3 linked regions of the Ovis aries genome follow. The protein of the gene in region 2 binds, or shares a complex with, the protein of the main gene of each other region. Links are inferred from orthologs where the notes say so. Each region holds a gene or a part of one and is shown on either strand. Other genes may lie near its edges.

Region 1 (4,163 bases), on a different chromosome or scaffold from region 2:
GCCGCTGCTGAGTTTTCCAAATTTGCTGGCATATCGAGTGCAGCACTTTCACAGCATCATCTTTTAGGATTTGAAATAGCTCAGCTGGAATTCCAACACCTTCACTAGCTTTGTTCATAGTGATGCTTCCTAAGGTACACTTAACTTCACACTCCAGGATGTCTGGCTCTAGGTGAGTGGTTACACTACCGTGGTGACCTGGGTCATTAAGATCTTTTTTGTATAGTTCTTCTGTGTATTCTTGCCAACGCTTCTTAATAATTCAATTTATTAATATCTCTTAATGACTTAGTTGCTCAGTTGTGTCCAATCCTTTGTAACCCCATAGACTGTAACCCGCCAGGCTCCTCTGTTCATGGGATTCTGTAGGCAAGAATACTGGAGTGGGTTGGCCTTTCTTACTTCGGGGGTCTTCCCAACCCAAGAATCGAACCCAAGTCTCCTGCAAGTCTCCTGCATTAGCAGGTGGATTCTTTACCACTAACGCCACCTAGGAAGCACAAATAAATAAACTAAACTTGAGCCGCTGATTGTTTTGTATTAATAGTCCAAAAGAAGCAATAAATATTGCATGCCTCCTAATGTGATGAAATTGGTAATATAAAACACCATCTATAAAACGATCTTGTCAAAAGATCAAACGTGTGCACCTCAGTGTCCATAGCAGCACTATTTGCAATGGCCAACACATGGAAGCAACCTAAATGTCCATCAACAGAGGAATGGATAGAGAAGGTATATATAATGGAATATTACTCAACCATAAGAAAGAATGAAATAATGCTATTTGCAGCAACATGGATGGACTTAGAGATTGTCATACTAAGTAAAGTAAGTCAGAAAGAGAGAGACAACGATCATATATCACACATATGTGAAATCTAAAATACGATACAAATAAACCTATTTACAAAACAGAAACAGATTCACAGACAAAGAAAACAAACTTATGGTTGCCAAAGGGGGAGGAATAGTGCATAGATATAACTGAATCTCTTTGCTATACACCAGCAACTAACACAACACCGCAAGTGAGGCTATAGTTCAATTTTAAAAAAAGATGGGGCTATAATGCCTTGTAATATGGAGTACAGCTATTAAATAAGTCACTGAGAGAAAAAATGAACATAAACTTGATCATGTCTCTAGATCTAATCACCATTTCTAGGAGATTTAAGGGACAGAGGAACATGTTGAATGCTACCACAATGTAAAACTTATAGGGCAATTGCCTGGTTTCTTCAAATATCAGTTGCAATAGGGGGCAGAAAAAGGAGAGTAAATGTATAAATTCAAAGAGATTCAAAGGTCATATCAAGAAAATACCATCCATGAATTTTTATTTGAATTCTGATTCAAATAGACCAGATGGAAAAATAATATTATGAGGCATTTGGGAAAATTTGAACACTGGATATTTTTGTCATAAAGGAATTAATTTTAAAGCATTGATGATGATATAATAGATGTGTTTTTAAATCAAAATATAGTTGATTTACAATGTTTCAGGTGTACAGCAAAGTGATTCAGTTATATGAACCAACATTGGTCATGAATTGATCATTGTTAAACCTGAGAGAGATACACAGAGGTTCATTATATATTTATTCAACTTCTATATACATTTGAATTAAGAGAAAATGTTAAAAAAAATAAGCAGTGAAATGAAAACAATAATAAATCAAATAAACTTACAAAGAATAAATACATTTCACACCGGTGGCATTTTTCTACTTTTGACTCTATGACTTTCTCCCATTCAATAATGTATTGAATATTAGAAGCCATACCCAGAAGAAAGAAGAGTTACTTAAACAGGAGCATGAGGGTAAAATTTACGTGAAAAAATAAGGTTGCAAATTAATGTTCCTAAGAAGTTTTGAAATCTTAATTCTTTCCGCTTTGGAAGCTAGAAAAAGACTTCCCTGACGGCGCAGTGGATAAGAATCTGCCTGCCAGCGCAAGGGACATGTGCTCAATTCCTGGTGGGGAAAGATCCCACATGCCGAGAAGCAGCTAAGCCCGTGTGCCACAACTGCTGAGCCTGAGCTCAGGAGCCCACATGCCACACACGAAGCCCTTGCCTAGAGACTGCGCTTCGCAGCAAGAGAAGCCTCTGAGATGAGAAGTCCACACGCATGAACTAGAGAGTAGCCCCCGCTCGCCACAACTAGAGAAAAGCCCAAGTGGCAGTGAAGGCCCAGGACATTCAAAAATAAATACATTATTTTTGAAAAAGCTAGGGAGAAACATTCTGTTGCTCTTAATGGAAGTAAACAAAGTATCATCATTGGTCTGTAACAACAATATTCATGAAATCATGGGTTTCGTATGATAACTATTTTTCTACTATCCATTAAAATAAGGTCATCAATATTAAAATAATGAAATTATAGTAGACCACCAGAAGCCATTCCCCAGCCCGCCAGTAGCTGGCAAAGGGTGGTTCCGGACTTGGGGAGTCCCTGAGACTCTGGCTGATGGCAGAACCCTCCAGAACCCCAGAGTTTACTAGGAGCTGGGCCCTGCCACCGGGGTGTTCATTCCCCAGGGCTCTCTTCTCTAAACAGGGAGCAGGGTCCACCTACCTTTGTGCAAGAAGGAGTTATGACTCCCCAGAATCTTGGACTGGGAAGAATCTTTCCAGCTGAAGACTATGTTCTTCTTCTGGGAAGCCTGGCAGGGCAGCTCTGCCTGGCCTCCTGCCTTACCCAGCACCACTGCTTTTCCCTGAGTGCCAGCCGGGAGCATCACTAGGTGGAAAAACAGGGGAGTCAGGCCTTGAGGCTGTGGTTGCCCCATCCCCTACCTGGCATTCCCCAACCAGCCCCTCCTCCCAAGCCACCTGCACCCAGACCCCAAGTCTGAGCACTCACCCAGTTGCAGCACCAAGAACAGGTGCCTAAGAGAGGTCCCCGGGCCCATTGTGGCTTTGCTGAGGCAGGCAAGGACCTGAGCCTTCGGCCTGGGGGAGACACCAGTCAGCAGTTAGCAGGCGTTCATCTGGCTGGGTCCCCTTCATGACCTAGACAGCCAGGCGGGAACCTAGACGTGCAGGCCTCTGAAGAAGACACCCATGGGTTACATGCCACGCATGCTGTGCCTGGGCCAGGGGTGGGTTCTTTGCCAGGGGGAATCAGAAAAGGATTCTCAAAAGACTTCCCTCATGGTCCAATGGTTAAAAATCCGCCTGCCAAGGCAAGGAACATGGGTTCAATCCTTGGTCTAGGAAGATTCCACATGCCAGGGAGCAACTAAGCCCTGTGCCACAGTTATTGAGCCTGGGAGCTGCAACCACTGAGCCCACATGCTATGGCTACTGAAGACCACGTGTCCTACAGCCTGCACTCCACAACAAGAGAAGCCACCAGAATGAGAAGCCCTCACACCGGAGCTAGAGAGTAGCCCCCACTCGTTGCAACTAGAGAAAGTCTGTGCCCAGCAACGAAGACCCAGCACAACCAAAACTTAATTAATCAATCAATGAATTACAAAATAAAATGAGTGAACAGCTTTTGGTATGAAGTAAAGTTTTTAAAAAAGAAGAAAAGAATTCTCAGAGAAGGTGGCAAATTAGTAGGAACTGAGACTAGGGAGTCAGGCCAGGTCATGAAGGTCCCGCAATGCTGTGACCCTGGGCGCTCGAGGGAGCTTTACTTAGAGGACAGGAGTAGACTTACAGGATGGATCCCTCCAGCTGCTGAGCAGAAGAGGACCTGGAGGAGGTCAAGCATGGGAGGCAGGATTGCAAGAATCCTGGTGGGAAAAGATGAGGCCTGAACTCAGAGAGACAGACTTAAGGGAGGAGCTCTGAAAGAAAACCCCCAGGACCTGGGGTCTGATTCAGTATGAGGGATGCAGTCAGGGAAAGGGCAGAGGGTGATTCCCTAGAAGGCCTCTGAGTGGGACAAGCAAAAAGGCAATACTCCGGAGTTTCTGTGGGCTTGGAAGACAGACAGGGCCGTGGGGGAGAGGGTCGCAGAAGGGCTCTGCATGGACCTGGAGGAATGGGCGCCACTGGGTTGGAGCAGTGATTCCCCATGTGTGATCACCCGAGAACTTGTGAGACAGGCAACCTCTGGGGCCCACCCTAGACCTCCAGGATCGGGAGCTGGGGTTGGGTGCAGCCGTCTGTGTTCACAGCCCTCTGGGGGACTGCTGCA
Region 2 (4,080 bases):
GTTTTTTAGTTTTTTTTTTTTTTTCAAAAAAAACTTCGTGTTTCTCAGCTTTTGTTTCTGTGTCACCCTCTTTGTCTGACTTTCCAACTCAGGCTTCCTCTTCCCCCCACCCATTTCCTGTCTCCCCCTTCTCTCCGCAGCAGCTGAAGGTGCATACAGCATCGGCTTCCACCTCACAAACCCCAACAATGCTCTGTGGGCTTCCCCTCCCCCAGCCTGCTACCTCAGTGCAGCCTCAGGCGGTGGCAACAGGCTTCTGTCTTCCGATGGGTGCGGCCAAGGCCCAGCTCTTGGGCCCGAGAGAGGCCACCTAGAGTTCCTCGTAACACTGGTGACCTGGCCCTCAGCCTCTGACGTACGCCACCCTCAGCCTGGCTCCTGGGGAAAGGGAGATTGTTGGCCTGCTTCGTGCTTGTGACAGGGTCCCTTCCTCCTGCCTGTAGCAGAAAGTGCTGCCAGTCTGTTGCCTGCACCGGGGGGCCTGGGCAGGAGTGTTTGTTCTGTCTCCCACCTGTTGCAGGAGGTGGTGTCAGGCCTTCGCCTCTGACAGAGGCTGTGGCCTTGTCTCTACCTGGGTTAGAAGGGTTGCCCTACTCTCCAACCATAATTAGGGGGTGTTGTCCTGCCCTCTGCCCACAAAAGAGGCTGCTCCCTTAAAGACACCGGGTTGTCCTGTCTGCTTCCTTGAACAGCCTGTTGTCCAGCAGACTGTCTGTAGGAGGGGTCTTAGCCTCCCCTCTGCAAATAATAAAGCTCTTCCCCATGCCCTGAGATGGCATGGCTGTGGTTCCATTGTGTGGCTAGCAGCTGTGTGCGCCTGGTATCTATCTATCATCGTATCTGCCCTCCAGTGATTTTACAGGGATGTTGTTCCCCCTGACTCTGAGGGGATGTTACTTTTGCCCTCTGACTGTAGTGCAAGGATCACCTGGCTCTCAGACTGATAGCCGTGCAGCTTGCCCTTCACTGAAAGCTGAGTGGGTGTCTCCTTGCCTCCTGCTCACTGGGGCTTCAAGGCGGCCCTTGAATCTCTGGTCCAGGTGCTCCCTGGGGGGGGGGGCGGAGGAAGTTCCATCCAATATTCTCCTCTACCTCCGGGTGCCACCTTCGGGGTGAATGGGGCCTGGACTGGGGTGAAAGGACCCTAGAGGGCTGAGAGGCAGGGGGCGATGGCAGCAGGAAGCTTGGGGTGCTGGAGGCTTGCGGTTGGGCTGCTGGGGCCCGGTTGGCTGCGGAGCCCTCAGGAGGAGGCAGGAAGTCAGGGTGGGACGTGGGCGCGGGGAGACAGCCAGTGGCTACGACGGTGAGGGGAGCCGAAGCTGTGTCTGGGCAGCCGGGCTGGGCCAGGAAGACCATGTGAATGGGGCCAGGGGGCTCCTGGGCTGGGCAGGTAAGGAGTACCCGGAACAGGGGCCTAAGGGCTGGGAGTGGGACCTTCGAGCAGAAGGCTGCAGCTGGGCCTAGGGTCAGGCTCCCCTGGGATGCGCAGCCTATCAGGCTGGGGTCAGAAACACCTGGAGGTCAGGTGGGAGGCAGGCTGAACAGCCAGATCGCCTCTTTCCTGTGTAGCTGTGCCTCCACCACACTGCCTGCCATCAGAGCCCACCTCACTGGGAGCCTTTTCCTTGGGGATCTCTTAAGTACTGAAAAGGCCTTCAGAAATCCCTGCATCCAGCCCCTCATCCCATGATGGATAAGCCTCCTAAGCCCCAGACTGGGCAAAATGCTCCCTCCCCATAGTCCGTCAGCAACGCAGAGGCAGAGAGGGTGATGGCCCTGGGAGAGGTGATGGCCTAGGATGTGATTCCCCACTGGAGCAAGGTGATAGACAGGCTTGAGTCAAGGGTCCCAAGAGTCCTTCCACTTGCTGGTGTAGACCCCAGTGACAAGACTCTCTTGAGAGAGCGAGGGGAATCACCCAGAGCATCCGGACAGACACGTGAGGAGTGACTTTAGCCTCGACCCACACTGCTTGAGAGAAGGAGGGGGTCTTCCTTTGGGAATGGATGGGCATGCAAGGGAATATTTATCATCTGGGATGAGGACTGGGGCGGAAGTATCTGACAGGACTCCGGGATGTTGGGGGGTGAGAGGAGGATGGGAGAAGGGAAGAGGAAGGGCTATTTTTATCCTGGACAAGGGTGCTGTTGGCCCTGGGCAAGGACCATCTGGATTTCCATCTGGAAAATTGCCACGCCTGCCCCTGCCAGGATGTCCTTTCCTCTTCCCTTTGCTCCTTCCTGCCCCCTACCCCTGCCCCTGCCACTGCCTGATTAGGGCCAGTGGGTCCTGCTGGTTCCTGCTTCAGACCCCAGGAAGGTGGAGGCCCAGGGAGGCAGAATCAGCTCCTTGTCCATCCCCTCAATTTTAGCTCTCAGCCTGTAGTTTATGGGGGTAAATCCCTACCTGAGCCACACTTTCCAGGTTTCCCCTGCCTCCCCCACCGCCACTGGAGTTTTTCTTGAAACAGTTTCCACTGTCTCAGCCATGTCGCAGTCTTTCTTTCATCCCCAGCTCCAAGGCCTGCAACCTCTTGTGGGGTCTGGAAAACAAGCTGGGTCTTCCCTAGACTCATCCAGACCCTGGACTGGCATCAGCCGTCCCCCACCCTAGCCTGTGCTGAAGGATGATTCAGGGTCCCTCGCCCTCAAAGCTCTGGGACAGAGGCGCTTCTCAAAGGGAAAAAGGGCCAAGTGATGGAGCAAGAGAATGAGCGGAAGCTCCAGAAGTCGAGAGGAGGCCTCGCTTGGGTGATCGGAAGGCTTCCTGGAAGAGTCAGGCGGCTATGAGAACAAAGGCCCATTTTGCAGAGTACCTAGGATATGCAGCTAGGGTCACTGTCTCTGGGTTGTTCCTTGGATCCTAGGAGGGCAGAAACCTCAGGGCAAGACCAAACACAAGAGAGCCAGAGGGTTTGGTGTAGCGCAAAGGACATGTATTTCACAGTCAGGCTGACCCAGGCACAATTCTGGTTCTGCCATTTCCTTGAACAAATGACTTCACCTCTTCAAACTCCAGTTGCTTTATTGGTAAAGAGGCAATAATAAATCCCTCCTTACAGAGTGCTGGTGGGAAATCAAAGAGAAAATGGCTGTGATGTGCTGTGGGTAGTAACTGGCATGCCGAAGGTGCTTAACAGAGGTTAGGCAACCACTTCTCCTGCAAATGGTGCACCCAAGGGTGTGTGTGCGGTGGGGGTGTTGGGGGGTGCTGTCCGTACCCGGAATTACTCCTACTCAGCACCTTGGCAGGCCAGTGGGCAGCCCATTCCTTCACACTTGTGGTGTAGCTTTGCAAATGAGCTTGTTTCCTGTGTGTTCTAGTGGGTGTGAGAATTTTAGGCTGGGCCACAGGGTCTATCTTGGAGGAGGGTCCCACACATACCTTCCTACAGACACATAGATACGCACACACACACACACACACACACACACACACACACACACACACACACACATGATCCTTCCCTTCCTAGCCCAAATACCATTCATATCATCACTGGAAAATGTAGGTGTGCATGGATGTTCAGAGGCAGAGGCAGGGACCACATATATATCACACATCAGCTCAGTTCAGTTCAGTTCAGTCACTCAGTTGTATACAACTCAGCAACCCCATGGACTGCAACACACCAGGCCTCCCTGTCCATCACTAACTCCAGGAGCTTGCTCAAACTCATGTCCATTGAGCTGGTGATGCCATCCAACCATTTCATCCTCTGTCACCACCTTCTCCTCCCACCTTCAATCATTCCCAGCATCAGGGTCTTTTCCAATGACTCAGTTCTTCGCATCAGGTGGCCAAAGTATTGGAGTTTCAGCTTCAACATCAGTCCTTCCAATGAACACTCAAGACTAATTTCCTTTAGAATGGACTGGTTGGATCTCCTTACAGTCCAAGGGACTCTCAAGAGTCTTCTCCAACACCACAGTGGGATCCTATAAATCCATGCACACACCCACAGACTGATGGCTTCAAGGCCAAGCCCAATTCAGTGAAAGCAATGCTGAGGGGAGCTGAGTTTGTGGGTGGGATGGAGGCAAGTGGGGCCTCCATCTGGGTGTTCGTTGGAAGGTATCT
Region 3 (4,376 bases), on a different chromosome or scaffold from region 2:
TGGCAGGGGTCCCCAACCCCTGGGTTCTAACGCCTGATGATCGGAAGTGGAGCTGATGTAATAATAATAATAAAGTGCACAATAAATAAAATGTGCTTGAATCATCACCAAACCATCCCCTGCCTCCAGTCGGTGGAAAAGTTGTCTTCCACTAAACTGGTCCCTGATGTCAAAAAGTTTGGGCATCGCTGCACTCACTATGGGATGCAAAGTGGGAAGAAATGAGAGAGGGGACCCACTATGGGGTGGAAGGTTTCAGGACAGCAGCAGACAAAAAAGGAAGGGGCCAAGTGTGTATCAGGTTCAGACAGGAAGAAACCCAGGCTGACACATGTGCCCGCCAAGCACCCAGAGCCAGAAGAATGAGATTCAGATACCAAGGCTTGGGAGCTGGCCAGGGGCTGAAACAGAAGTGCATTCCAGCATGGGGAGCGCACAGTTCAGATCATCAGTGGCGCTAGCGGTAAAGAATCTGCCTGCCAGCACAGGAGACACTAGAGACACGGGTTTGATCCCTGGCTTGGGAAGATTCCCCTGCAGGAGGAAATGGCAACCCCACTGGCAGTATTCTTGCCTGAAAATGCCACGGACAGAGGAGCCTGGCAGGCTACAGTCCATGGGGTCGCAGAGAGTCAGACATGACTGAGCGCACCATAAGATTACCCTATGGGCATGTAGTGGGGGTGAATAGGAAAGACCAGGACAGGGGCCTGGGAAGGAGGCTGGGCAGAACCAGCACTCAGGCTCCAAGCCAAGGCAGGGCTGAGCTTCCACGCAGAGCTTCCACTCAGACCTGCACCTCACCAGGAGGCTTCAAGAGTGACACTATCACATTCCCTTTTGGAGAATACTGTTCACAGCAGTGTGGCTGGGGGACTGGCCGGAACAGGAGCTACTGTGGAGGCTGCTGCAGTGGCCTCGAAGGAATGAGGCTGTGGTGGCCAGGTTTAACTACTGAGGAAAGAGGATGAGAAGCAGAAAATCACAAACCTCACACACTGCTTGACCGGCTGACTGGTGGAAGTCTCCTCAATGGAAGGAAGAAGGTTTTTTCCTCTGTGGGCACCCGGACGCCCCTGTCCGAGTCCCGCAGATGTGGGCCAGTCACTAACTCCTCTTAGCCTCAGCCCTCAGGGCCCACTTCCCCGGGACCTAAAGCCCCAAGTTGTCAGTGCCAGGGCCACTCTGAATGAGGTCAGAGGAAGTGGACATTTCTCTCTCCTTCCTGCTCGCTCACCCTCCCTTCTAGAAATCTCTTATCTGCCTCCGTCACACCCACAAGCTAGCCCTTCCAAGGGCCACGTCCAACCATCCTTGTCCTTGTTCTCCACCTGGCCAGATTGCCTCGACGGCCCCCATTCACGGACCCCCACACCCCCACCCCTCTCTGGGCTGGAGGGTGACAACCGCGAAAAGGAGGGCGACTCTCTTCTCCGCGGGGCTTCAAGTGACATCACATCCTCTGAATTCGAAATCGGGCTCGGAGGCCGGTCGAAGGGCGAAACTTCGCCCTCCCGTCGGTGATCCACCGGCTGCTGCGCGCCTCGGAGTTTCCGCGGCAGGGAGCGCGCCATGGCCTCACTCTTGACCTCCCTGATCCTGCCGCTGGCCCTGCAGCTGCTCGGTGAGCTGGCGACCCCTGGGGGAGGCGGGGGCGGGGCTGGCATGGGACTGGGGGAGGTGGGGGAGTCGGCGCCGGGCTCCCAGCTCAGTCTCGCTACCCGTGTCCTGCAGATGCCCCCAAGGTCCTAGGGTCGCTCTCGTTCCGGATGTCGCCGACGCAGAAGGAGACCAGACTGGGCGAGACGGTGGAGCTGCAATGCGAGGTGGTGCAGTCCGGCATGGCGTCAGGGTGCTCCTGGCTCCGCCAGATACCCGGGGACGACCCCAGACCCACCTTCCTAATGTATCTCTCGTCCCAACGGGTCAAGCTAGCCCAGGGACTGGACCCCGACCACATTTCCGGCGCCAGGGTCACCGGCTCCAAATTCCAGCTCACCCTGAGAAACTTCCGCCAGGAGGACCAAGGCTACTATTTTTGCTCAGTCTTGAGCAACTCGGTCCTGTACTTCAGTAACTTCGTGCCTGTCTTCTTGCCAGGTTCGGCGCCCCGGGTCGGCTTTGGGGTTCGCGTCTGAGTCCGTTTTTCACAGGGACACCGCTACTTTCGACTCTCTTGGGGTTCGAGCCTCTGGGGGCTACTTATATACTGTTCCCAATTCACAGAGGAGAAAACTGAGGCTAGGGTGCGACTGGGTAGTAATTCAAGGTGACTTTTTAGGTCTGGTTGATCTGGGCTCGAGTTCCGAGCTAGTATGATCCTGGGCAAGTTACTGCACTTCAGTTATCTGAGCTTCCCACTGCTGGTCAGGAGAAGGCCGGTGTCCCACCGTCCCACCCCTGCCTCCTCCAAGCCCTCGACGTTTCTGGTGGGGCCCTGGAGAGAGGCTGGGCGGAGGGGCACGGGCCTCTGTGTTCATGTCCAAGGCACCCAGTGTACTCAGACGACCAGGTGGTCTTTCAGCATCTCCCCGCGCTGAGCGCCGAGCTCCGCTGAGCCTCTACGGCTCCTCCAGTGGCTAATCCGGAGGGAGTGCCCCCTTAGCAAAGGCTGGCGGAGAGGTGGGAAGGGTTCGCGGGCACAGCTCCAGCGCGGCCCCTAACCACTCTCCGTTGTTCCCGCAGCGAAGCCCACCACCACGCCGGCGATGCGGCCATCCACGCGCGCGCCCACCATCGCGCCGCAGACTAGGTCTGTCTCTCCGGGCTCAGAGGTGTGCCGGCCCTCGGCGGGCAGCACAGGTGAGGCGGGCGCGGCAAAGGCCCTCGCCGCCGGGGCCACGCTGATCTTCCTAGCAGCCCAAGCGGTGGGGAAACGAAAGCCGGAACGGGAAAAGGGACGTGCCCGCACCAACGGGGTGGGATAGGGTTGGTGGGGGGGTCCCCAGGGTGGGGTGGGGGATCCCGGGCCCTCTCCTAAATGTCCGCGTCTTCTGTGTCGTCAGTGGACAAGGGCGGGCTGGACTTCGCCTGCGATATCTACATCTGGGCTCCCCTGGCCGGGACCTGCGCCGTCCTTCTCCTCTCATTGGTCGTCACATGCATCTGCTACCGCCGTAAGTCCTGGGGAATCGCGCGGGAAGACGCAGCCCGATTTTTGCAGCGCTTTGCTTTAGGCAGCCCTTGAGGGCAGTTCAGTTAGTTGGGTTCGGATTTCTGGAACTTTGAGCTGCACCGCAGGGCCAGGCACTGCCTATGTCTTTCCTGGAGAGAGAACGCAGGGAAAACCCCTTCTCTTTCCACATCCCGGGAAGTTTTTAGGAAGGCATAGCCCCATCCCCAGAGCGGCAGCGGCAGGGGTGGGGTGTTCCACCCGCAAAGCCCGCAGGTCTGGGCTTATTACAAACGCCTAGGATGGGGAAGGAAATCGCAACCCACTCCAGTGTTCTTGCCTGGAGAATCCCAGGAGCTGCCGTCTGTGGAGTCGCACAGAGTTGGACACGACTGAAGCCACTTAGCAGCAGCAGCAGCAGCAGGATGGGGATGGGAGCAGGGCGGGGCCCGGCTGTGGCCCTGGCACCAGAGCCCAGGAAGCCCGGGTCAAAATCACTACAGGCAGTGGTTTATCCTTGGCCCCCTCCTTGTGAGCCCCCACCCATTTGGATCCTACTGCAGGTGGCCGTACTAACCCACGTTCACCCACGTCTGTATTTGCAATGCTTTTTAAAGTGATGTGAAGAAGGGTGGGAAAGAAGACCTCACCTCAGTTCTCAAGAGTTAAATGCTACTTATTGCATAGCACTATATTCAATATCTTGTAATTATCTATAAAGGAAAAGAATCTGAAATATTTATTTACATATACATGTATATATACATTTACATATATATGTATATGTGTTATTCCATCAGTCACATCCGACTCTTTGGGACCCCATGGACTGTAGCCCACCAGGCTCCTCTGTCCATGGAATTTCCTAGGCAAGAATACTAGAGTGGGTTGTCATTTCCCCCTCTAGCGGATCTTCCTGACCCAGGAATCAAACCTGGATCTCCTGCATTGCAAGCAGATTCTTTATCTGAGCCACCAGGGAAGCCCCATATATTTACATATATATATATTTACATGTATAAAAACTGAATCACTTTACTATACATCTGAATCTAACACAATATTGTAAATCAACTATACTTTAATTTTTAACTTTTAATAATAATTATTAAAACTATAAAATGTAAATATGCTTTATAGCTTGTGTTTTAGTAAATTAATCTTCTTTTCAGTGTCAGTCATTATTATGCACTGTCATTTTACAAGTTTACTTTATTATGATGTATTTTTTCCAAATATTTATTTATTTGGCTGCGCTGGGTTT

What was found.
Region 1: the proteins of LCK (region 2) and CD4 are in contact, whole or in part, in an NMR structure (PDB 1Q68), measured with the Homo sapiens proteins. The link is inferred for Ovis aries from reciprocal best matches to the Homo sapiens genes LCK and CD4. Residues at the interface, in NP_001036236.1 of Homo sapiens: Glu15, Ile17, Val19, Cys20, Asn22, Cys23, Tyr25, Pro26, Ile27, Val28; in NP_000607.1 of Homo sapiens: Ala429, Arg431, Ile435, Leu438, Leu439, Lys443, Thr444, Cys445, Gln446, Cys447.
Region 3: the proteins of LCK (region 2) and CD8A are in contact, whole or in part, in an NMR structure (PDB 1Q69), measured with the Homo sapiens proteins. The link is inferred for Ovis aries from reciprocal best matches to the Homo sapiens genes LCK and CD8A. Residues at the interface, in NP_001036236.1 of Homo sapiens: Cys20, Asn22, Cys23, Tyr25, Pro26, Ile27, Val28; in NP_001139345.1 of Homo sapiens: Arg212, Arg213, Val214, Cys215, Lys216, Cys217.

What each region holds. Positions count from the first base shown.
Region 1 is NC_056056.1:209,484,815-209,488,977, forward strand, and holds the start of CD4 (T-cell surface glycoprotein CD4 precursor), read right to left. Parts: upstream 2,926-4,163; coding exon 2,877-2,925; intron 2,754-2,876; coding exon 2,589-2,753; intron 1-2,588. UniProt on the Homo sapiens protein: Integral membrane glycoprotein that plays an essential role in the immune response and serves multiple functions in responses against both external and internal offenses.
Region 2 is NC_056055.1:235,286,054-235,290,133, reverse strand, and holds the start of LCK (tyrosine-protein kinase Lck), read left to right. Parts: upstream 1-1,276; 5' UTR 1,277-1,390; intron 1,391-4,080. UniProt on the Homo sapiens protein: Non-receptor tyrosine-protein kinase that plays an essential role in the selection and maturation of developing T-cells in the thymus and in the function of mature T-cells. Plays a key role in T-cell antigen receptor (TCR)-linked signal transduction pathways.
Region 3 is NC_056056.1:58,635,869-58,640,244, reverse strand, and holds the start of CD8A (T-cell surface glycoprotein CD8 alpha chain), read left to right. Parts: upstream 1-1,500; 5' UTR 1,501-1,572; coding exon 1,573-1,624; intron 1,625-1,734; coding exon 1,735-2,100; intron 2,101-2,685; coding exon 2,686-2,802; intron 2,803-3,005; coding exon 3,006-3,116; intron 3,117-4,376. UniProt on the Homo sapiens protein: Integral membrane glycoprotein that plays an essential role in the immune response and serves multiple functions in responses against both external and internal offenses. In T-cells, functions primarily as a coreceptor for MHC class I molecule:peptide complex.